Linked DNA regions of Stegostoma tigrinum. The protein of the gene in region 1 purifies or fractionates together with the protein of each later gene. This does not show direct contact. Links are inferred from orthologs where the notes say so. Each region holds a gene or a part of one and is shown in the gene's direction. Other genes may lie near its edges.

The links.
Region 2: the proteins of smc3 (region 1) and sister chromatid cohesion protein PDS5 homolog B purify together in Homo sapiens (co-immunoprecipitation; 7 studies listed by BioGRID and IntAct, with this or other methods). This does not show direct contact. The link is inferred for Stegostoma tigrinum from reciprocal best matches to the Homo sapiens genes SMC3 and PDS5B.
Region 3: the proteins of smc3 (region 1) and nipped-B-like protein purify together in Homo sapiens (affinity purification with western blotting; 4 studies listed by BioGRID, with this or other methods). This does not show direct contact. The link is inferred for Stegostoma tigrinum from reciprocal best matches to the Homo sapiens genes SMC3 and NIPBL.

Annotation. Positions count from the first base shown.
Region 1 is NC_081373.1:2,591,284-2,599,042, reverse strand, and holds the start of smc3 (structural maintenance of chromosomes protein 3), read left to right. Parts: upstream 1-4,758; 5' UTR 4,759-4,932; coding exon 4,933-4,947; intron 4,948-7,759. UniProt on the Homo sapiens protein: Central component of cohesin, a complex required for chromosome cohesion during the cell cycle. The cohesin complex may form a large proteinaceous ring within which sister chromatids can be trapped.
Region 2 is NC_081359.1:81,958,446-81,965,590, forward strand, and holds the start of sister chromatid cohesion protein PDS5 homolog B, read left to right. Parts: upstream 1-4,143; 5' UTR 4,144-4,261; intron 4,262-4,305; exon of another isoform or gene 4,306-4,617; intron 4,618-7,145. UniProt on the Homo sapiens protein: Regulator of sister chromatid cohesion in mitosis which may stabilize cohesin complex association with chromatin. May couple sister chromatid cohesion during mitosis to DNA replication.
Region 3 is NC_081356.1:138,995,863-139,003,055, reverse strand, and holds the start of nipped-B-like protein, read left to right. Parts: upstream 1-4,191; 5' UTR 4,192-4,336; intron 4,337-4,427; exon of another isoform or gene 4,428-4,544; intron 4,545-7,193. UniProt on the Homo sapiens protein: Plays an important role in the loading of the cohesin complex on to DNA. Forms a heterodimeric complex (also known as cohesin loading complex) with MAU2/SCC4 which mediates the loading of the cohesin complex onto chromatin.

The DNA of each region.
Region 1 (7,759 bases):
ACTTTCCCTTATTCTTTATTTCATGCATTCAGCCCCTGGAGGTGAGATTCACAGGCTGGGTCAGCATTTGTTGCCCATCACTGACCACCCTGGAGAAAGTCACGGTGAGCCACTTTCCCGAATCTCTAATATACTGAAGGTGCTCCAATAGTGCTGCTAGATGGGGTTCAAAGATTTTTATCCAACAATGAAGAAGAAAGGGTGATACATTTCCAAATTAGGATGACCTGTGACTTAGAGGAAAATTTGGTTATGGTTGTGCTCTCATGTGGTCCCTGACCTTGTCTTTTATATGTCTTAGTGTTTGGAAGGTTCTGCTGAAGATAATTTGGTGAGTTGTTAGAATTGACGAAGTTTTCCAAATTTTGTTGAAGGACTATAGCAACCACTGAGCAGATGTAATTATGAGAGATAATTTGGACACATATTAAGGATATTTTAAAATTCTGAGCAATGCCTCCTGCCATTAGCAAAACAATCATTCACTAGATCAAGGTATTTACTACTAAAGGCTTTTAACTTAGTTTCATCTGAACATCTTGTGACTGCTGTTTTCTTTTGGCATTTATGCACGCTTGTAATCCACTCCTGAGCTCTGTGAGACATTATCCACACATTGATGCGAATTTCCACAAACTGTCAATGTCATATATTTCCAAATTTCCAATGCAGGAATGCCTCACTTTTCTTGGTATATGGGGGTCACAGAAACACAATTAGTCATCACTGAGTCCCAACCTGAAACGTCAAATCTGATGCTCCCTGGCCTACTGTGCTCCTCCAGCTCCGCACTGTTATCTCTAGCCATCACAGGTACTTGTTCTGTCAAATTCCAATCAGCTTATTACAGGACTTAAACATGCCATTGAGCATGCACAGCACAGGAGAACGTTTGTCCCTGATATTTGTATCAGCTGTAGCCACCATCTAACTATCACAGGATCTCAGTTGCACAGAATTGGAAAAAATCTGCTAGAAAGAGAGACATGCTGTCAAAGTCTTTTCCCTTGCAATCATCAGGACAGAATCTCAAAAATATTAAATTTTGCAGGGAATTTCTCAAGACGGTATACATTGTTATTTCTCTTGAAATTTCATAGTATCCTGACTGTATGGAAACAGGCCATTCAACCTGTCAAGTCTACACTGACCCCCTGAAGCGTATCCCACACAGACCTGCCCCCACTCTTTCCCTGTAACTCTGCATTTCCCATGGCTAATTCACCTAGCCTATGCCCCCAGAACACTATGGACAATTTAGCACGGCCAATCCGTCTGTTTTGAATCTTTTTCTTTCGTTCTGTTCTCTGGATAGCCAAAGTAACAGTTTGAACTGGGAGGCAAGGTAGAGGGGCCCACAATCACACTTAAAAGCAGTCCTCAGCAACTGGGAGGACAGAACGCTCATGTCTGGGGCTGGGTGTAGAAGGGCAGTGGGAATGGTTGGCAAATGTGCAAGGGGAGAGATAGCGGCAATAAGTATGGAGACAGACAGTTGGGTCAGTGAGTGGGAGGGGAAGGCAGCTGCTCCATTTGGGAACTGGTGGCTGTAGGTTTCATTAAGAGCCATGAATGTATGAATGCCATGAATGTTCTCCTCTTGATGCATGAGATGTATAGAATGAAGTATCACTGTAGAGCCACCTCCTTTTCACTGTTAGCTTTCCTGGCTACTGAGAAACTGGCATGGTTGCAGCAAATATTAAAGCAAGTGGTATAGTGGTAATGTCACCAGGTTGGTAATCCAGAACCCCAGCCTAATGCTTGGGAGATGTAGGCTCAAATCCCACCATGGTGTAATTTGAAATTGATAAATCTAGAACACAAAGGTGGCACAGTGATCATGACAACTATCATTCAAAACCTTTAGAGAAGAGAATGAAAATCTGCCAGCTTTCCCTGGCATGACCTACATGTCACTATAAATCTACAATAACGTGGTTGACTTGTAACTGCCCTTTAAATACACACCTCACTCAGTTCAAGGACGATTAAAAACAAGCATCAAAAGCTAGCCTTTTGGGCAGTGCTTACATCCCAAGGAGGAATAAGAAAAGCATAGTAGGAGGACAACTTAAATACATTAAATATGTAGGAATAGACTCAATGCCTTGATATACAGGTGTATGTGAAACACCCATTCCCCATGTTAAAGTCTTCAAAGCTCAACCTCGATGTACAGAGGTAAAAAAGTACATAATCTCTGCTCCCTGAGGATGCCAGGCTGCTTAAGGGTTCTTGTACCTGGGATGTTCAAAGTTACAAATTCAATTGTGTTGCCATAAAGGTGGAGGGATAGATAGTTGTCAGTGGCTGTTAATAAAACATATCATAATCTAGTCTTTGTTACTAAGGAAAGGAGTGAAAGATCCAGCAGAAATGGAAGAATTCTCCAGATTACTTGGAGAGAGTGGCAGATGAATGTCAAGATTTTGAAATACAGTCATAGAGTTATATAGCATGGAATTAGATCCTATGGTCCAACTTGGTCACCAGATATCCTGAATTAATCTAGTCCCATTTACCAGCATCTGGCAATAAGCTGAAAGACTCAGACAGCCAGGACAGACATGATGAGCCAAATCATTGCCTTCTGCACCATAACACTTCGATATTTCGACATTTCTAGTGTTGTTAAAAACCACAGAGAAAGATTTTCAATGTTTGTAGTCAGATTTGTGGAAAGAAATTTGCAAGTTCTTGAATCAACATAACTACCAAGTTATTTCATAGAATCCCTACAGTGTGACAGCAGGCTAATAGGCTAATTGAGTCCACACCAACCCTCCAAACAGCATTCCACCCAGACCTCCCCCATCCTTGTAACCTTGTATTTCCTTGGGACAATCTTTGATTTGATTTATTATCATTTGTACCTAAGTCCAGTGAAAAGCTTTGTTTATGAGCAGCACAGGCAGGTCACAGTAAGCACAGGACATACAGATCACAGGGTGAAAATAAAACTTGGACAGAGGTAAGACAAAAAAATGTGAGGCTGAATGAACACAGCAGGCCAAGCAGCATCTCAGGAGCACAAAAGCTGACGTTTCGGGCCTAGACCCTTCATCAGAGCTTTTTTTTTGAAGGGTCTAGGCCCGAAACGTCAGCTTTTGTGCTCCTGAGATGCTGCTTGGCCTGCTGTGTTCATCCAGCCTCACATTTCGTTGTCTTGGATTCTCCAGCATCTGCAGTTCCCATTATCTCTTGGACTGAGGTATGCAGGTTACATCACACAGGACAGGCACTAGGCGAGATCAACATTAGCAAGATCAGCATTATTTAGTATTAGAGAGTGCATTTATCAGTCTAGTAACAGTAGGGAAGCTGTTCTTGAATCTGCTGGTGCATGTGTTCAAGTTTCCGTATCTTCTGCCTGATAGAACATAGACATAGAACAATACAGTGCAGAAAAGGCCCTTCGGCCCTCAATGTTGTGCCGACCTGTGAACTAATCTAAGCCCCTCCCCCTACACTATCCCATCATCATCCATATGCTTATCCAAGGACTGTTTAAATGCCCCTAATGTGGCTGAGTTAACTACATTGGCAGGGAGGGCATTCCGTGCCCTTACCACTCTCTGAGTAAAGAACCTGCCTCTGACATCTGTCTTAAATATATCATCCCTCAATTTGTAGCTATGCCCCCTTGTACAAGCTGAAGTCATCATCCTCGGAAAAAGATTCTCACTGTCCACCCTATCTAATCCTCAGAAGAGGTTGCAGGGGAGAATTACCAGGGTAATGAGCTGCGTAAATGGAGTCCATGAATGGAATGTTGTCTTCCATGAGGGTCTGTGCATTCAACCTTCATTAGTTTCTTATAGTCTTGAGTAGAAGAGTTACCATACTAGGTCATTATGCTTTCAATGGTACAACTGCGTGTTATGGAGGGTCCTTGTGGGCTTGCCAAATTTCCTGAGCCGCTTGAGGAAGAAGAGGCATTGTTGTGCCTTCTTGACCATCCCAAATACGTGGGAAGTCCAGGAAAGGTCATTGGTTATCGTCACTCCTAGCCAATCCACTTAGCCTGCACTTTAGGGGCAATTTAGCATGGCCAATCCACCTAGCCTGCATGTCTTTGGACTGAGGGAGGAAAGCGGAGCACCCGGAGAAACCCACAGAGACATGGTGAGAATGTGTAAACTCCACACAGACACCCAAGGGTGGAATTGAACCCAGGTTCCTATCTTAGGGGCCTCTTGTAGCTTCTCTACCTCTGAGCCAGGAGGACCAGGTTTAAGTGGCAGGTACATGTATCATAATGTGAACAGGTTGATGATGGCAAATATCTGTACCAGTTAGAACGGGTCTTGCAGTGCAATGGTAATGACACCACCTCTGACCCAGAAGTTTGAGGTACGTGTGTAATAACATATCTGTACAGGTTGGCTGAAACAGATACGAAAGCTCATTGTGAAATAAAAGCCCGCCGGCAAAAAAGGCTGGGCTGTGTTTAAAGAGCCCGATCTGCATGCCCCTTTAAGTGGAAGCCCCGCTCCAGGCGCCAGAACGTTCCATTGGCGCCAAATGTTTGACCGCTCCTGGACCATACCAACATCAAATAGGGGGTACAGACTGTGTGCAGTGCGTTGAAACATTCTTCTGTTCCAGAATTCGAGGGAAATTTCAAAAACAAACATTAATATAAATTATCACTAAATGATAATGGATGGGTCGATCAGTTGAATGCTTCTATCCCATGCATTTCCCTTGTTGCCTTTCTTACTACCCCATGGTCACTGCTTTGGTACAGGGTGAGGGGAGCCGCCATTTTGTCGGAGTTTTGCCGCTTTCGGGTTATTTTTGTTTGTTTTTTTTATTGTCGTTGCCCCCGGTTCTCGGCGGCGGAGGAGGTTATTTTTATTAATTTAATAACGACGGTCGGAAGGCGGTGGGGAGGATAGCCTCCAGTGCCGCTGAGGGACGCGAGATATGTACATTAAACAGGTAAAGGCCCCGCTCGGCGAGGCTGGGAGCGAACGGCCGGGCCTCGCCGGCCCCGTTGGGGGGCGAACGGCCGGGTCCCGCGGCGGGGGGGAGGAATGGCCGGGATGGTTATTCTTCCTATTGGAAGAAAATACCGCATCAAGTGTCCGATAAGGAGCGTTTATTTGCTCACATCCACTTGATCGAACATTTTAGGATCTATATGATCATAAACTGACAACAGTTTACTAAATATGTGGATATTTTTAACGCATGACAGTGCAACTAAGAAGTAAAATTAGAATTCACCTGTAAAATTGTGAAGTGACAGGCCCCAACTTCAAAAGGCCGATATTCATCCCCCCGGCTTCTGACCGTCTTCCTTGTCATTTGCGTAGGCAGAGGGCCCATAAGCTCTATTTTATTATTTTATCAGAAGGGGATAATGCAGCCAGGTAGTTCGTTGGATTGACACAGGGCCGTCCGGAATAAATGTCTTTTAAAGTACAGGCGGGATTTATGGAACTGGATGCTGTCTGCCCAAGAGGCTCCAAGTTGTTGATTGTGATTTTCTTTTATGGGGAAAGAGAATGGATACCTAACGTGCATGGAGATAGCACTTTTAACATACACAGGAACCCTTCTCAACGTATTCCTTCATCTGTTCAACGAATTATGCCTGGGGAGATAGTGGTGATATCACTGGACCAGCAGTTCAGAACCCCAGGCCAGTGTGTTCTGGGGACGTGGGTTTAAACCATAAGAAATAAGAACAACAGTTGGCCATTAAGCTCCTCAAGCCTGCCCTGCTATTCAATAGAATCATGACTGGTCAGACATTCATCACATCCACTTTTCTGCCTTTTCCCATAATCCTTGATTCTCCTACTAATGAAGAACCTATTTGTCTCTGCCTAAAATAAACACAGGTATAGCGGTTATCACTGCTGTCTCGTAACACTGGGGATCCAGGTTTAATCTCAGCTTTGGTTACTATCTATGGATTTTGTATGTTCTCCCTTTGTTTGGCCAGTCAGGTGCTCAAATTTCCTCCGACAGTTCATATTAGGTGGATTGGCTGTGCTTAATTGCTCTGGTGATCAGGACTGTGCCGGCTAGGTGGGTTAGCCATGGTAAATGTGAGGTTATGGGGATTGGGTGAGATGCTGTTTGTTGGGTCAATGCAGACTTGTTAGGGAGAGTGGCCTCATTTTGTACTGTAGGGATGCTGTGATTCTACTCTGACTCCGTTCCTAAAGCGGTCTGGCAAGGAGATGCAAAGACTCAACCCTCAGAGAGAGAGAGAAAATAAAAACTCTTCCTCATCTCAGTCTTAAACAGGCACCTGTTTATTCTGAAACTATGCCCTCTTCTCTTAGACTCACTCTGCCATGAGGGAAAGCATCTTTCAACATTTATCCTGTCAAGTCCCTTAACAATCCTATATGTTTCAATGCAGTCATCTGTCATTCCTCTAAACTCCAGTGGGTACAGTCCCAACTGGTTTAACTTTTGCACATATGACAATCCCTCCATACCAGGGGTCATCCTAGTATATGTTTTCACAACTGCTTTCAATGGAATTATCTCTCCATAACTGTGGAGACTCAGACTGCTTACAGTACTCCAGACACTATCTCCCTTGCACAGTTGCAGTAAGATTTCCTACTCTTGTACTCTACTGTAGTGTTAGTATCCAATCACGAGTTCAATAAAAAATGGCAATCATGTAACCAACAGTCAGTTGTCAGAAAAACCTATCTGCTTCACTAATACCCTTAGCAAAGGAATGTGCCATCCATTCCCGGTGTGCCCTACACTGGATCCACTGCAATGTGCAGAAGAATTTTTCAGCTGCAGGTTTGTGTTTTAAAAAACAGTCTGTCACACCTTTGCCACAAGTGTATCTCGTTAAATATTTGTGTGGTGGTGTAAGCGATAATTCTCAGACTGCAGTTAGTAGCACCCTTTCACTTCTGAGTGAGAACATTGTGATTCAAGTGCCACTCCAAAGACTTGAGTGCAAAAATCTTAAATGAAATACCGGTGTAATACTGCAGGAGTACTGCCTTGTCAGAGGACCCATACTTTGGAAGAGTGGTTCAACTAAGGCCCCATCTGTCTCCTCAGGTGGTAGTGAAATATCATGGCACAATTTGGCAGAGCACAGTGGCTATCCTGTGCTCTGATGAAGGGCCTAGGCCCGAAACGTCAGCTTTTGTGCTGTTGGCCTGCTGTGCTCATTCAGCTCCACACTTTGTTATCTTGGATTCTCTGGCATCTGCGGTTCCCATTATCTCTGATACAGTGGCTATCCAGATTGGCCATCCTGGCCAGTTATTACTTAAAAACAAAATGTGGGGTCTTTGAATGGTTACAGTATGGATGAAGTCAATTAGCCTTTTGTGGCTGGTCAAAAGCTTGACTTATCTTCTCCCTGCAGTAGAAGAAGATTTTGTGGTTGTTATGATATTGCTGTTTGTGGGAACTTGTGTGTAAATTGGCTGTTGAGTTTCTTATTGGCTATACTTCAAAATTAAATCTACCTCTTCCCACCCACCTTCCTGCAAAAATCCATCCCCTATTCCCTGGATGAGGCATTCCACTCCCATACATCTCAGATGACCTTGTTTTTCAAGGATCCCCCCTCCCCCCTCCCCCCGCCCCACCCCACCCCACTGTGGTTGAGAACGCCCTCGACCGTGTCTCCCGCATTTCCTGCAACTCATCCCTCACCCCCTCCCTGCAATAACAACCAAAACAAAATCCCCTTCGTCTTCACATACCACCCCATCAACCTCCGGATCCAACACATCAACCTCCGACAGGTCTG
Region 2 (7,145 bases), on another chromosome or scaffold:
AGTTACCCTCTTGCTCTTTATATATGAATAAAAGGCTTTGGGATTTTCCTTAACCATGTTTGCCAGCAATATCTCATGTCCTCTCTTAGCCCTCTTCATCCCTCGTTTCAGATTCGCTCTACATTCCCAATATTCTTGCAAAGCTCCGTCTGTCTTCAGTCGCCTAGACCTCATGTATGCTTCCTTTTTTTTCTTGTCTAGTCTCACAATTTCACCTGTCATCCATGTTTCCCTAATCTTGCCTTTTCTATTCCTCATTTTCACAGGAACATGTCTCTCCTGCACGCTAATCAACCTCTCTTTAAAAGCCTCCCACATATCAAATGTGGATTTACCTTCAAACAGCTTCTCCCAATCTACATTCCTCAGATCCTGCCGAATCTTGGTATAGTCGGCCTTCCCCCAGTTTAGTACTCTTCCTTTAGGACCACTCCTATCCTTGTCCGTAAGTATTGTAAAACCTACAGAATTGTGGTCGCTATTTCCAAAGTAGTCCCCTACTGTAATATCAACGACCTGGCCGGTTTCATTCCCCAGCACCAGGTCCAGTATGGCCCCTTCCTGAGTTGGACTCCATACATACTGCTCTAGAAAACCATCCTGGACAGACCTTACAAATTCTGCTCCGTCTTGACCCCGAACGCTGAGTGAATCCCAGTCAATGTTGGGAAAGTTAAAATCTCCCATCACCACCACCCTGTTTCTCCTACACCTTTCCATTATCTGTTTACATATTTGTACCTCTATCTCACGCTCGCTGTTGGGAGGCCTGTAGTGCAGCCCCAACATTGTTACTGCATTCTTCCTATTTTTGAGTTCTACCCATATTGCCTCACTACTTGAGTCCTCCATGGGGCCCTCCTTCAGTGCAGCTGTGATATCGTCTTTGATCATTACTGCAACTTCTCCACCCCTTTTACCTCCCTCTCTATCATCAATATCCTGGGACAACTAGTTGCCCGTCATGCCCTTCCTTCAACCAAGTCTCAGTAATAGCAATAACATCATACCTCCAGGTACCGATCCAAGCCCTAAGCTCATCTGCCTTATCTACTACACTTCTCGCATTAAAACAAACGCACCTCAGTTCACCTGTCCCTTTGTGTTCATCATCTGCTCTCCGACTACTATTCCCTTTAGTCACACTGACTCCATTATCTAGTTCCCTACAGGCTTTCGTTTCTACCTCTTTTCTGTCCAATATTTGGTTCCCATCCCCCTGCCACATTAGTTTAAACCCTCCCCCACAGAATTAGCAAAAGCACCCCCAAGGACATTGGTTCCAGTCTGGTTCAGGTGTAGACCGTCCAATTTGTAATAGTCCCGCCTTCCCCAGAACCAGTTCCAATGTCCCAAAAATCTGAACCCCTCCCTGCGACACCATCTCTCAAGCCACGCATTCATCCTAGCTATTCTTTCATTTCTGCTAGGATTTTGGTTAGGCTTTTTGGTTGGTACTCACAAAAGATCTTGTTTCTTCCTCAGAAGTTGGCACTTCAGAGGGAGAACTCTGAACTGGTTCACACTCAGACATGAACTTGTGACCAAATGGATCATGTTCATAATTTGGTTAATCAATCATTAAGATTTCTTGATCTACATGAAAAAATCCAATCTTTCCGTTATATCAAATAAGTATCCTTTAGTTCAGTAAACTTGTCTTACATTTCTCACATCTGAGACTTTGAGAGAGGTTCAGAATGTAAACATAGTCATTTTTCCTGAAACTGTTCTCTCTTTTGTTTACATTGTGCTGACATCTTTTGACTGAACTGTTTGTGTTCAAGGGTACCAGTCAAATTTGGTAGAACCAAACTCAAAAGTATCCTTAACTTTCTCCTTATCAAACCCTGTGGTAGGGTGTGAAGTTGTTTGACATTTCAGGAGAAAATTAGTCAACTCTGTTTCATTTTGAAATTTAATCACCTATTCTCTGCTTGTTTTTTGAGTGTTATCACAAATCTTTCGGCTGCTCCATTTGATACTGAAAAGTAAGGAGAAGTAAGGATTTATTTAATGCTATTTTGCTTCAGGATTGTTTTTTACAGAATAGAACACAACAGAGGACTATTATCTGAAAAGCTCCTCAGAAAATCCGTGACAAATAAAGATGGGCCATAAGTCAACGATTGTACGTTTTTAGCAAAAATGTTTTCACCCAGTTATTTATTTTGATCCATTTTGAGTAGCTATTGCTGAGCAGTAATACATTTTAATGAAAGTATGCATTGACTCTTTGAAACGGACAAGTTGACTGTGACCACAATTGCAAATAAATATTTGAAGGTTTATTTTGCCTTTGATTCCAAATCACAGTCAAGCTCAAGTCAATAAACAAATTCTTTTGTTAGAGATTTTGTACTGAATTTTGCTGTGTGTTCCATGTTGAGCTCTGCCAGAAATGTATGCCTCAAATACAAACGTGGCACTACTATGTGAACCCACTTACTATCATAGTCATTGAGGTCTACACCACCGAATTGTGTCCATGTCAATTAGAAACAACCACCAAAATATTTAATCCCATTTTCCAGTGCTTTCAGATTTCTCCAGCATCTGCAGTTCCTATTATCTCTGATATCAAAAAATGAGGTGCCAATGTGGTGAAGCCACTAATCAGGACCATTTGCATGCCAAACAGTACAACAAGATGGCACATCAGATGGAGGGTCTAGGCCCGAAACATCAGCTTTCCTGCTCCTAAGATGCTGCTTGGCCTGCTGTGTTCATCCAGCTCTACACCTTGTTATCTCACTTTTTGGTATGCCTGGTGCTACTCCTGGCATGCTCTCCTGTACTCTCCATTGAATCAGGGATGATCCACTGGTTTTTTATGCTGGTCCATGAGGTTGCGGATTGTCCTGGAGTATAATTCTTCTGCAGTTGATGGCCTGCAGCGTCTGGTGGATGCTCAGTCTTGAGTTGTAAGATTCATTCAAAGTCAAAGTAACTGTTTTACTTTCTTAAAAGTAACTATATAGTAATTTGTTAAGTGTAGTCCAGTTCTGCAGAAGAGGGCTCAAGACTGGAAATGTTAATAAAGATAACAAGGTGTAGAGCTGGATGAACACAGCAGGCCAAACAGCATCAGAGGAGTGGGAAAGCTGACATATCGGGTCTGGAGCCTGCTTCAGAAAATATATTGTTTGTTTCAGATTCCCAACATCCACAATATTTTGCATTTATATAGTAATTTGTTCTTATTATTAAGTAGTCAACCCTTACTCTGTATGTATTACCAATGGAAAAAATTTGTGCAAAGAGCAAATTGGTGTGACATACAGGGGGTTTTAAGAGTTTTAAAAATATAATTACAGGGTAATCTGAACATATGCTTTGCTTTACGTTAACATTCTCTCAAAAATACCTCGCATTCTGTGACATAAGCAATAAAAACTTTTAAGATTTTACTAATGTTTAAATTGAAGCCTACTTGACAACAAATAACCCATATGTTTTTGTTCCTGTCGGCGTGCACTTTCTGCCGTTATATCCAACAATGTTTCCGAGTTGTGAAAATGTTGGAATCAGCTTCAAAATATGAATCAAGTCATCAAAACTTTAAATCAAAATCTTGCGATTCTGTATCTCACGGAACCCTGTACTTGGATTTTTTTTTAATTTAAAACTTGTAATGCCTTATTTTCGACGTTTGGAGATGCTCTTGCTTCAATTTTCCACTAGACCGTATCCCAGTCCTGAAGTTCCTTCGGCTAAACTTTTATTAACGCTGCACCACTTCCAAACCGGGAATAAGGCGGGCCGCGGTTCTTCACCCCCACCCCCTCTCAATCAATTCGTATTCGGGGGCTGTATATTGATTAATTCACCCCTAAGAGGTGCTGCAATTCTTTAACTACGATGTATGTCTTTTGTCGCATTTACCGTGCACGGAGAGACATAGAGATATGTAGATAGATAGAGAGAGCAGGAGCACGTCTGTTGTCGACCTTGTTCCCCTTTCTCTCTTCCTTTCGCTTTTCGAGCCCACTCCCCGAGGAAAATCACTGCGTCTGGAGGGTGCCCTACTCCACTTCTCTGTCCCAGCGTGCTCTAGTGGGAATTGGATTTGGGGTTTGTGGGTTTGAGTTGACTAGTGTTGACAGTGTCAGTGACTCCGTGCCTCCCTCCCCCGCTCTCCGTTCATTGGTGCAGCCGGAGACAAATTGGCGCCATTTTGAAGCGTTCTAGGGGCAGGCGGCAGAGGCAGCGGCGGTTGAAGAATTAGACTGGACCGGACTAGTCTGGGGTTCTCACACGGGTGAGGAGACGAACCGTCACTAATTTTGCGGATCTTCTTTGTCGTTGTATTGTATATGTATACACGTTGTTGCTGCTACTGCTGGTGGTTTTTATTTCTGCGTTTCGTTGTATTGGCGACCCCGGATTTATGGGTATTTACCGTCTGGTGTGGCGGCTCGGCTTTCCATACATGCCCGTTTCTGCCTGGGCTTCTTTCTGTCTCGCTCTGCCTTTTATTTTCCGCCCCCTTCACTCAGTCGGCGATGCTTTTCCCCGCTGTGGTTTTGTTTTCAGCGATCGGCAGAGTGGGTAATCCTGGCTGCTGGACCTTGGCGGGCGGGGTGAAAGCCTTTTTGGTTTCTGCTGTAACTCCTGGTGAGAAATCTTGATTCTTCGCCTCTCTGTGTGGGGACCGTAAAGACGGAAAATAATGGCGTTTGAAGTGTAACTGCTGGATGCTTAATTTCTCGTAAGGGTTGAGTTTGCAAGATTTCGGGGCCTGCTAGTACTCATGTTTTTGCTTTGGCCTAGAACTTGACGTATTCGAGCTCGTCCACATATGTATTTTTCCTGTCTTCTCTTCTTCACCCCCGCCCCCCAACAATTGCTTTCAGCAGCCTGTATATGGTGGCTGTCAACGTTCAGGGCAAATTTTTGATGCAATCGCCGTGTTCTTAGAATTTGTCATTTTCGTCCCACTGATAGCATTCTTGATCCTCAACGGGTTAACAGGTTTTGCTGCGCAAGTATTATTTCCCCGTTGTTATTCAAAACGTCAGTCATTTGGGTGCTTTCTTTTAAAAAGAAGTTTTATCATGGTTTGACAACATTTTAAAAAGTACCCTTCTGGGCAAGATCTTTTGTGCCCAATTTTGCTGTCTTTTTGAGAGTGAGACAAATTAGGGTGGGGGAAATACTGTACCAAAAAAACTTGCTAGTTTTTTTCTGTACTTCAAAAGTACATTAGCTGTATTTAAATTCTTTCCTTAATCTGATAGTTTAAATAATTTGCTCTGAATTTGAGGAAAGTGCTTTTATTTTTAAAGATCAGTACAAAACTATTGTGTAAACAAATCAATCATAGTAGTTAACTTAAGATTTTCCTGTCCTTTGTGATGATGGTGTTGCAGGTTATGACCCCATACATTCACAGTAGAAAGATACCTGTCAAGAGTGTGTTGTAGGAACATATGTTAAAAGAGAAAGGCTAAGCTGTTTTGTCCTTTTTGAACTTGTTCACCTGCACCAATATCCATCCTGCATTATAATCACATTCCTTCATTTTGTCAGTTTCCAAAAATCACGTGCCTCTGGAGGATTCTAAATGTTCACAACCTGTTGGAGTTGAGGCAATCTTGTCTCCAGTGTAAGTGGTGAACTGTTTCTAAGGCTGACCCCTATTTCTACAATACCCAACCAGGAAAGCATTTTCCAGAATTGACTTTGCGAAGTCACTTAATGTTTATGCTTTTGAGATGACTTCTAATGTTGAAAGCCTGGTGATCATAGGCCTAATCTTTTCGGTCTGACATCTGAAGATAATTCTCCTCCATCCCATTGTAGAAACTAATTTTGTGAATTTTTACATTTCTTCTGAAGCATTGTTCCTTGTTCCTTGTGCCTTGAATAAGGAGACTAAAATTGTATATAGTACTCCAGATGTTATATTATGAATGTAATTGAAATGAGTTTTTAGAAGGTAGAAAAAGGCCCCTTGTGTCTGCACAGATCATTAAAACATAGATCTGTTCTAATCCTATTTTCCATCAGCACTTGGCTGATAAAGCCTTGTATGCTTTATTTCAAATGCTCATCTAAATAGTTCTTAAATGCTTTTAGTTCCTGTCTCCACTCAGTTTTTTTAAAATGTAGTGAGTTCCAGATATCCGCCATCCGTCTGGTCAACAAACCTTTAGCCTCCCTTTTTGACCCACCATGCTGCTTACTTGAAACATATGCCTCTGTAGACCAAGAAGAAAAGTTTCTCCCTATCTGTGCCTGTCCGAAGTTAGTTGGTGCACCTCAAACAGGCTACTGGCGTTCTGTAACCACCAAACAAAACCTCACCCAACCTTCTCTGCTGGAAGGGAATAAAACCCCAGTTTATCTAATCTCTGTTCCTAGCTGAATCACTCCAGCCTGGGCAACATCCTGGTGAATCCCCTCTGCATCCTTTCCAGTGCAGTCACATCCTTCCTTTATTGTGGTAATCAGAAATGCACACTGTACTCTGGCTGTGGTGTAATCAACATTAATTACAGCTCCATTATAATCTGTTTGCTGTTATAGTCAGTATATTGACTAAGAAAGGCAAGTATTCCATTTGCTGCCTTAACCACCATCTCTGCCTGTCCTGCTGCCTTCAAGAATCTCTGGACATGCGTGCAAAGATCCCTCTGTACTACTTGGGGTCCTACTATTCAAACTATTCCCTTGCCTTGTTAATTCTCTTAAAATGCACCAGCTCTTAATTTTAGTGTGGTAATTGTAGCGATATGTATTTTCCCTTGTGGCTCCATTATTTCGTAATAGGGACTAACATTAGCTTACTTAACTACTTGCTGGTTATGCGTATTAATTTTTGTGATTCATGCACACAATTACCCAGGTTCCCCTGAATACAAATATTTAGCAGGTTTTTTTTCTATGTTCAAAAAATTCTACTCTTGGCTGCCAGTTTGACTAACTTCATTGCATTGTATTCCATCTGCTGTGATCTTGCCTGCTCTCATCTTTAATTGATCCACATACCCCTTGCAACATTCGAGTTTCTCTCTCTTTAGAAAATTAGGTGAGAAAATATCATGAAGAAATGTGTATATATTACTTTTGATCTTCTCAAATTTACTGATTATTGATTGAAAATAGCTGAAGCCCAAATGTTGGTCCCATTGTTTCCTCAG
Region 3 (7,193 bases), on another chromosome or scaffold:
TTTGCAACTTTTGTCTCGTGGGGTACTACAGGGATCAGTGTGGCTATTTGTGGTATGCATAAGTGAGTTAGAACTGCAGAGTGGTGCAACCTTGAGCCAGTATGTTGCGATGCTGTTGGAGAGAATGGTCAAGAGTGTGCATGTGATGCTGCATGGCACTGAGTATGGATCTCAGGATGTGGTGAGAGCAGCTATCTGTGGAATGTTGAACATCACAGAGATATCTGTGATTCTGAGAGGATTCAAAACATGAGGGATGAAACTTCAGTTGGAATCCACGTGGGGCGAGTCTGAGCTGGAGGCAGTCACTGAGGAATGTGATGTGGCTGTAGAAATGAGTTTTAGCAAATACTCGGTCAAACACCAGAGTGACAGTGAAATTAATGTTGGTGGGCAAGAAGAAAGATGGGAACAGAAATCCTGGAGAATGGAGCAGAACTTCTTCAAGATGGGCATGCCTAGAAAAGATGTGGCAGTGACTTAAATGCTAAAAAGAAAATGAGAAAACTGCAGATGCTGTAAATGAGGAACAAAAACAGGATTGTTGGAAAAGCTCAGCATCTGTGAAGAAAAAAAATTAGAGTTAACATTTTGGGTCTGAGGCCCTTCCTCAGGGTCACTGGACCTTTCCTGATTTTTTTCCTTTACAGGTGTTGCCAGACTTGCTGAACTTTTCCAGCAACTCTTGTTTTTAGAATCATAGAATCTCTACAGTGTGGAAACAGGCCCTGTGGCCCAACAACCCCACACTGACCTTCAGAGAAACCCACCCAGACCCATCCCCCTATATCCCACCTAATCTGCACATCCCTGAACACTACGGGCAATTTAGCATGGCCAATCCACTTAACCTGCATATCTATGGACTGTGGGAGGAAACTGGAGCACCCGGAGGAAAGCCACACAGACACAAGGAGAATGTACAAACTCCACACAGACAGTTGCCCAAGGGTGGAATCGAACCCGGGTCCCTGGTACTGTAAGGCAGCCGTGCTAACCACTGAGCCACTGTGCTGCCCCTATGTTCCTAAAGGTTATGCTGGAACTGTATAAAAAGTTGATTAGGCTACAGCTAAAGCATTCTGTGCCGTTACTAAGTTTGCAGACCCTTCCAGGCTAGTCAACTTTCCCAATCTTGATGGTTCGGAACCTGTTCTGAATTCTTTAGCAGGTCATGAATATCCATTAACACTTTAGCTCACTGGAATTATGCTCAGAGGTACAATCTTGCTTGCCTGCCCAAGGTCATAACCTTTCATTTATCCTGATTGAATCCCATTTGCTACTGACCAGCTCATCAAACTAACCCGTCCACATCCTCCTACACAATCTAAAGCTTTCCTCACCGCTATTTATCACCCCAACAATTTTCATATCATCTGCAAACTTAATGAACAGCCTTCATACATTCAAGTCCAAATCATTTATCTGTACCACGAACAGCAAAGGCCCCAACACTGATTCCTGTGGAACCCTACAGGATACAGGCTTCTAACCATAAAACACCCCTTGACAAAACTTCTTTCTGCCACTGGGATAATTCTGGATCGAATTTGCCAAATTTTCTTGGATCCCCTGGGTTTTTACTTTTACTATCCGTCTCCCATGTGGGGCAATGTCAGAAGACACAAGGCACCAGATTATAGTCCAACAGGTTTATTTGAAATCACAAGCTTTCAGAGCACTGCTCCTCCACTTCATGAAGTGCTGCCTCCACACCCCAACTTCCCTGACGTCAGGTCAAGTGTCCACCCTGGTCCAACACCAGCACCTCCATTTCTTCCCAATTGGGACTTATCAAAAGACCTTATCTCTAAAACTATATCAAAAGCATTGCCCTTATTTACATACCTAGTCGCCTCTTTGAAAAATTCAATCAAGTTGGTCAGACATGACCTCCCCTTAACAACCCATGCTGACTGTTCTTGTTAATCCTCTTCTCTCCTACTGCAGATTGTGGTGCTGGCTCGAAGGGCCGAATGGCCTACTCCAGCACCTATTGTCTATTAATTCTGCCCATCAGAATTGCTTCCAACAGTTTCCCCACCACTGAGGTTAGACTGACTGGCCTGCAGTTTCCTGGTTTATTTCTAGCTTCCTTTTTCAATAACAGTAACACACTGGTGGTCCCCCAGTCTTTTCACACCTCTCCTGTGGCCACAGAGGAATTAAAAAATAATGCCAGCATCCCTACTATTTTCTCCCTTGCCTCACTCAAAAGCTGGGATACATTTCATCTGGCCCTGGACATTAATCTACTTGCGAGTTTTGAGAAGATTTGTAGCTCAGGTAGAGGTTCTGGATGTGAGATCTTGCAGAGCTGGAAGGTTCATTTTCAGACGTCTCGTCACCATTCTAGGTAACATCATCAGTGAGCCTCTGACAAAGCCTGTCAGTCCATTCATGGTCTGTCGCATTAGTGAGTAAAGTTTTTTTTTGGCGCGAAATTTCCTGGTTGTATTTACGGAGTCTGTTGTGAGCATCATTGATCATTTCTCGAAACATTCTGCGGCCGTTTTGCTCAGCTATTCTTTTGGCTAGCGGGGTGTTAAGGGGAGGTTTCGTCGGAGGCTCACTGATGATGTTACCTAGAATGGTGGCGAAATGTCTGAAAATGAACCTTCCAGCTCAGCGAGCAATCTCACATCCATTAATCTACTTTTAAGACTATCTGACCATTTGGAACCTCCTCTCTGGCTATGCAAATTTCTTTAATTATATCAGTCCTTCTCCCTCATTTCTACACTCATGTTGCCCCTCTCGCTATTGAACATTGGAATAAAATATGCATTCAGAACCCCACCTATGTCAAATTACCACTATGATCCTTAATGGGTCCCATTCTTTCCTTATCCTTTTACCCTCAATATATTTGTAAAATAACTTAGGATTTTTCTCTGGTTTACTACTATTAACCTTTCATGGTCTCATTTTCCTCTTCCACTGTCCTTTTTAAATTCTCCATTGCACATTTGGTATTCCTGTAGAACCTCTGCTGTTTTGCGCTCTTGGTAGCTGTCAAGTCTTCCATTTTCTCTTGCCAGCCAGAAATGACTCAGTTATCGTACCGTCCATTTCCTATCAGATGACGGATCCTCTATCCATGTTAATTGCCTAAAAGCTCTTATTTTCTGTAATAGCGTTCAATGTTGTTGACAATCATTCGTAACGTATATGATTGTCTACCTGTGCAATTCCGTGTGACTGATCATGGGGTCTGTGGGTCCTTGTGTGACTGATGAGCCGGATGCTAGAGCCACACTTCTGACCACACATTTGACAGTTGGAATTGATCCTTGGGTTTGAGATCGCTGGCATTCCTTTAGAACATAGAACATAGAACAGTACAGCACAGAACAGGCCTTTCAGCCCACAATGTTGTGCCGACCATTGATCCTCATGTATGCACCCTCAAATTTCTGTGACCATATACATGTCCAGCAGTCTCTTAAATGACCCCAATGACCTTGCTTCCACAACTGCTGCTGGCAACGCATTCCATGCTCTCACAACTGTCTGCGTAAAGAACCTGCCTCTGACATCCCCTCTATACTTTCCATCAACCAGCTTAAAACTATGACCCCTTGTGCTAGCCATTTCTGCCCTGGGAAATAGTCTCTGGCTATCAACTCTATCTATGCCTCTCATTATCTTGTATACCTTCTTCTCCGTGCGTGCTCTTGCCAAGGGGCGTTCTAAAAAAAAACTTTTGATGTGGGGCCTTATCAAAGGATTTTTGTAGATCCAAGCATCCCACCATGTTTCAGAGACAGTAGGAACTGCAGATGCTGGACAATCTGAGATAACAAGGTGTAGAGCTGGATGAACACAGCAGGCCAAGCAGCATCAGAGGAGCAGGAAAGCTGATGTTTCGGGTCTAGACCCTTCTTCAGAAATTCGTCAGGCTTCCTGCTCCACTGATGCTGCTTGGCCTGCTGTGTTTATCCAGCTCTACACCGTGTTATCTCAGATTCTCCAGCATCTGCACTTCCCACTGTCTCAGTAAATCCTCTCACCGACAGGAAACGCGCCAAAAGCACGTGCAAACTACCGGCCACACAGCTGCGCCTGCGCGACGTGCTGCCCGGGGGGGCGCGCACGCGGCCGGTGGGCGCGCACACTGTACCGTGGGCGCGCGGAGCCGCTGCAGCCGGAAATGATCGCGTTTGGCGCCTTCTTCCTCCCTCCGCTCGCGCTGGTTTCGTTCACTTCCGGTCGGCATTTTGTCTGCGAGAGAGGAATCGCCTTCGAGGCTGAGCTGGAGTTTCCGCCGCCGCTCGGTGCCTTTACCCAGGCTCAGAGAGCCAGGCCGCATCGCAGGCAGACGCCGAAGCCGGTATCCAGGAAAGCCAAGGGCTCACACGGTCGACAGGCTGAGGCGGGTGGGCAGGCGGACGGGCGGGGGAGGGAGGGAGGGAGCGCGCCGCCACTTCACGTCCCTTCATGTCCGCTCGGTGTTTGTTGTTCTGCCCGCCGCCCCCTTCACATTCCCGGAGCCAGCGACTCGCATCGACATCAACATCGACAGCGGCTTCTTCGCTGAGGTAAAATCCAAGGAGGACACTAGTAAAATTTAAAATCCGTCTAGTGATTCCCCGGCAGTGGGCAGGGCGAACAGGCGAGGCCGCGGATTAGGGCCTTCTCGAGTACTTTAGCAGCTCTCGGGTCTTTCTGACTTTACTGTTGGCGGGGTTGACTTTAGGTGGAATGTTGCTGTGTGTCCCGCCGCCCCAGGCCGAGTGAGGCCCGAACCCGGGTGGGGGAGGGAGGGAAGAATATGGGGTTTTGTCGGGGCCCTAGGCCTCAGGCCCAAGGAAGAACTGCGGCCCTGGCCCTGGGTCCGGGCGATTTCGGCTACTGGAGATCAGATATGAGAAGGTGAAGGGGTGGGCCTGTGAGAGGTGATTAGAGGCCGCCTCGACTAGAGGTGGTCGAGTGAAGCCGGGACACTCGCCTGAGTTAACAAAGGGGGCAGGGAGGGGGGGGGGTTGGGCGATGCGGAGGTCTTGCTAGCAGCCCGGAGAAGGGTGTGGGGGTGAGGCGACAAGCGGCTTGGGGCCTAGCCGCCGATATGGGTCTCGTTCCAGAGGACAACCGCCCTCAGCGTTTTTAAGAGAGGCGCTTGGGCAGTGTGATTTACTGAGGCCTGGTTGTGGAACCTACCTGAGCGTCGCCTGAATGCCAAAGTATCGAGTGCAGTTTCCACATTGTAGTTATGGTAGATTTCGGCACTTAAACCTGTTTTATGAGTTCAGAGATAAAAAATACAATAGCTGATTTTCCTTTTTTTTTGCTGGTAAACAAAAGCTGTTTATAATCGGCTGTCAACATGGAATACCGCTGGAGATGTGGGTCAGATCATACGATGTAACTTTCTAGTGAAGATCGGACATGGTTCTTTCTCATTGGTGGGAATAGGAAGAAAGATATATCATTTGTTCTTGTTATAAACTTTGATACATGTTGTATTCACCCTTGCAGCTGTTAACTTGGTTGATAATTGAAGTAAAAAGGATATCGTGTGTTTCATTATCTTGCATTTTTGTTTCTGGTATGACTCGCATTCGATCTTTGAAATCGTGCTGGTTGATGTAATGAGTCTAACTAACTTCATGAAATCAGTTACGATGTTTCGAAAAACGTTTGCATAAATGTACTGTCTTGAAATTTTATTGTTGGAAGTATTCACATCTTTTGGGTGTGTAGCAAGTTCGTGTTCAGTGGCCGTCGTTGGTACGTCATTGGTTTACTTGTGTGGGCGAAACAATTGTATCGATATTTGACTGACAGTATGCTGCAGTGTAAATAGATGCCGGGCCTCTGTTTGCAAACACTGAAGCTTCAGCTTGTTGTATTGTATCTATTCGAAATGGTGGTGGCAACTTCAAATGTGTAGGAGCGTCGGTAATTTTTATCAGAATCTTGTGTTGGCTCTTTCTCCGAAGCTGGTATGACCCCCATCCCGGAATTAAAACTATATTTAGAAAGAGAGTTGTTACCTTTGATACACGAAACTAGTTGCTGTTTATTTTCTATTTATAATTAAAATGAAGTGGTGAATTTGAAGGAAATGCTTAAAACATAAGTGCTTATGCATATGATTCAATTTGTAAACAAAAGATGTGACATTCAGAAAATAGGACTGAAATGAAAAGTATCACCATCTACTTTGTTTCTCTGTAGACTCTATGTTGAGACAAGTCAATAATACGTGAAATGGTAGCTGTTATTGGAAATGTTTTTGTTACATTACAGCATGCATGAATAAACCATTCAATGAAATTTTTAAAAATTCATTCAGGAGATGTGGGTGTTGCTGGCTACGCCAGTATTTATTGCCTTTTCCAGTTGAGTCAACTACATTGCTTTGACTCTGGAGTCACATGTAGGTCAGACCAAGTAAGGATGACGGATTCCTTTGCAAAAGGGTGTTAATGGATCATAGACTTTCTACTGTGTGAAAGCAGGCCAATTGGCTAATCAAGTCAATACTGACCCTCTAAAGAGCATCCCAGCCAGATCCACTGTCCCTGTAACACTGCGTTTCCCATGGCAACCCACCTAACCTTCACATTCCTGGACACTGGGTAATTTAGCATGACCGTTCCACCTAACCTGCACATCTTTGGACTGTGGCAGGAAATCCGCATAGACGCAGGGAAAATGTGCAAACTCCACACGGTTATCTGAGGCTTGAATCGAACCTGGGTCCCTGGCACTGTGAGACAGTAGTGCTAACCACTGAGCCACCGTGCCACAATTAAGTGGACTTTTCCAACAGCCGACAATAATTTTTATTATGATTTTGTATTGAATTAAATTCCTCCACCTGCTGTAGTGAGATTCAAAGCAGAGTTCCCAGAATGCTGCTTGGGTCTCTGGATTAATCAAGCAGCAATGATGCCACTCAGCTGTTACTAAAATCCTCAGGTAAGCAGTGTTACAAGACAGTAATATAATGCAGTAGTAATACAATAATACCAATTATGTCAAAGGGGAGTCAGTAGTTTAGCGGTATTGTTCTTAGATGATTAATCCAGGTTTCGAAGCCTAGCCTTGGCAAATGGTGGAATTTGAATTCTGATGAAGGGTCTAGGCCCGAAACGTCAGCTTTCTTGCTCCTAAGATGCTGTTTGGCCTGCTGTGTTCATCCAGCTCCCTACCTTGTTATCTGGAATTAAGTGTCTACTTAA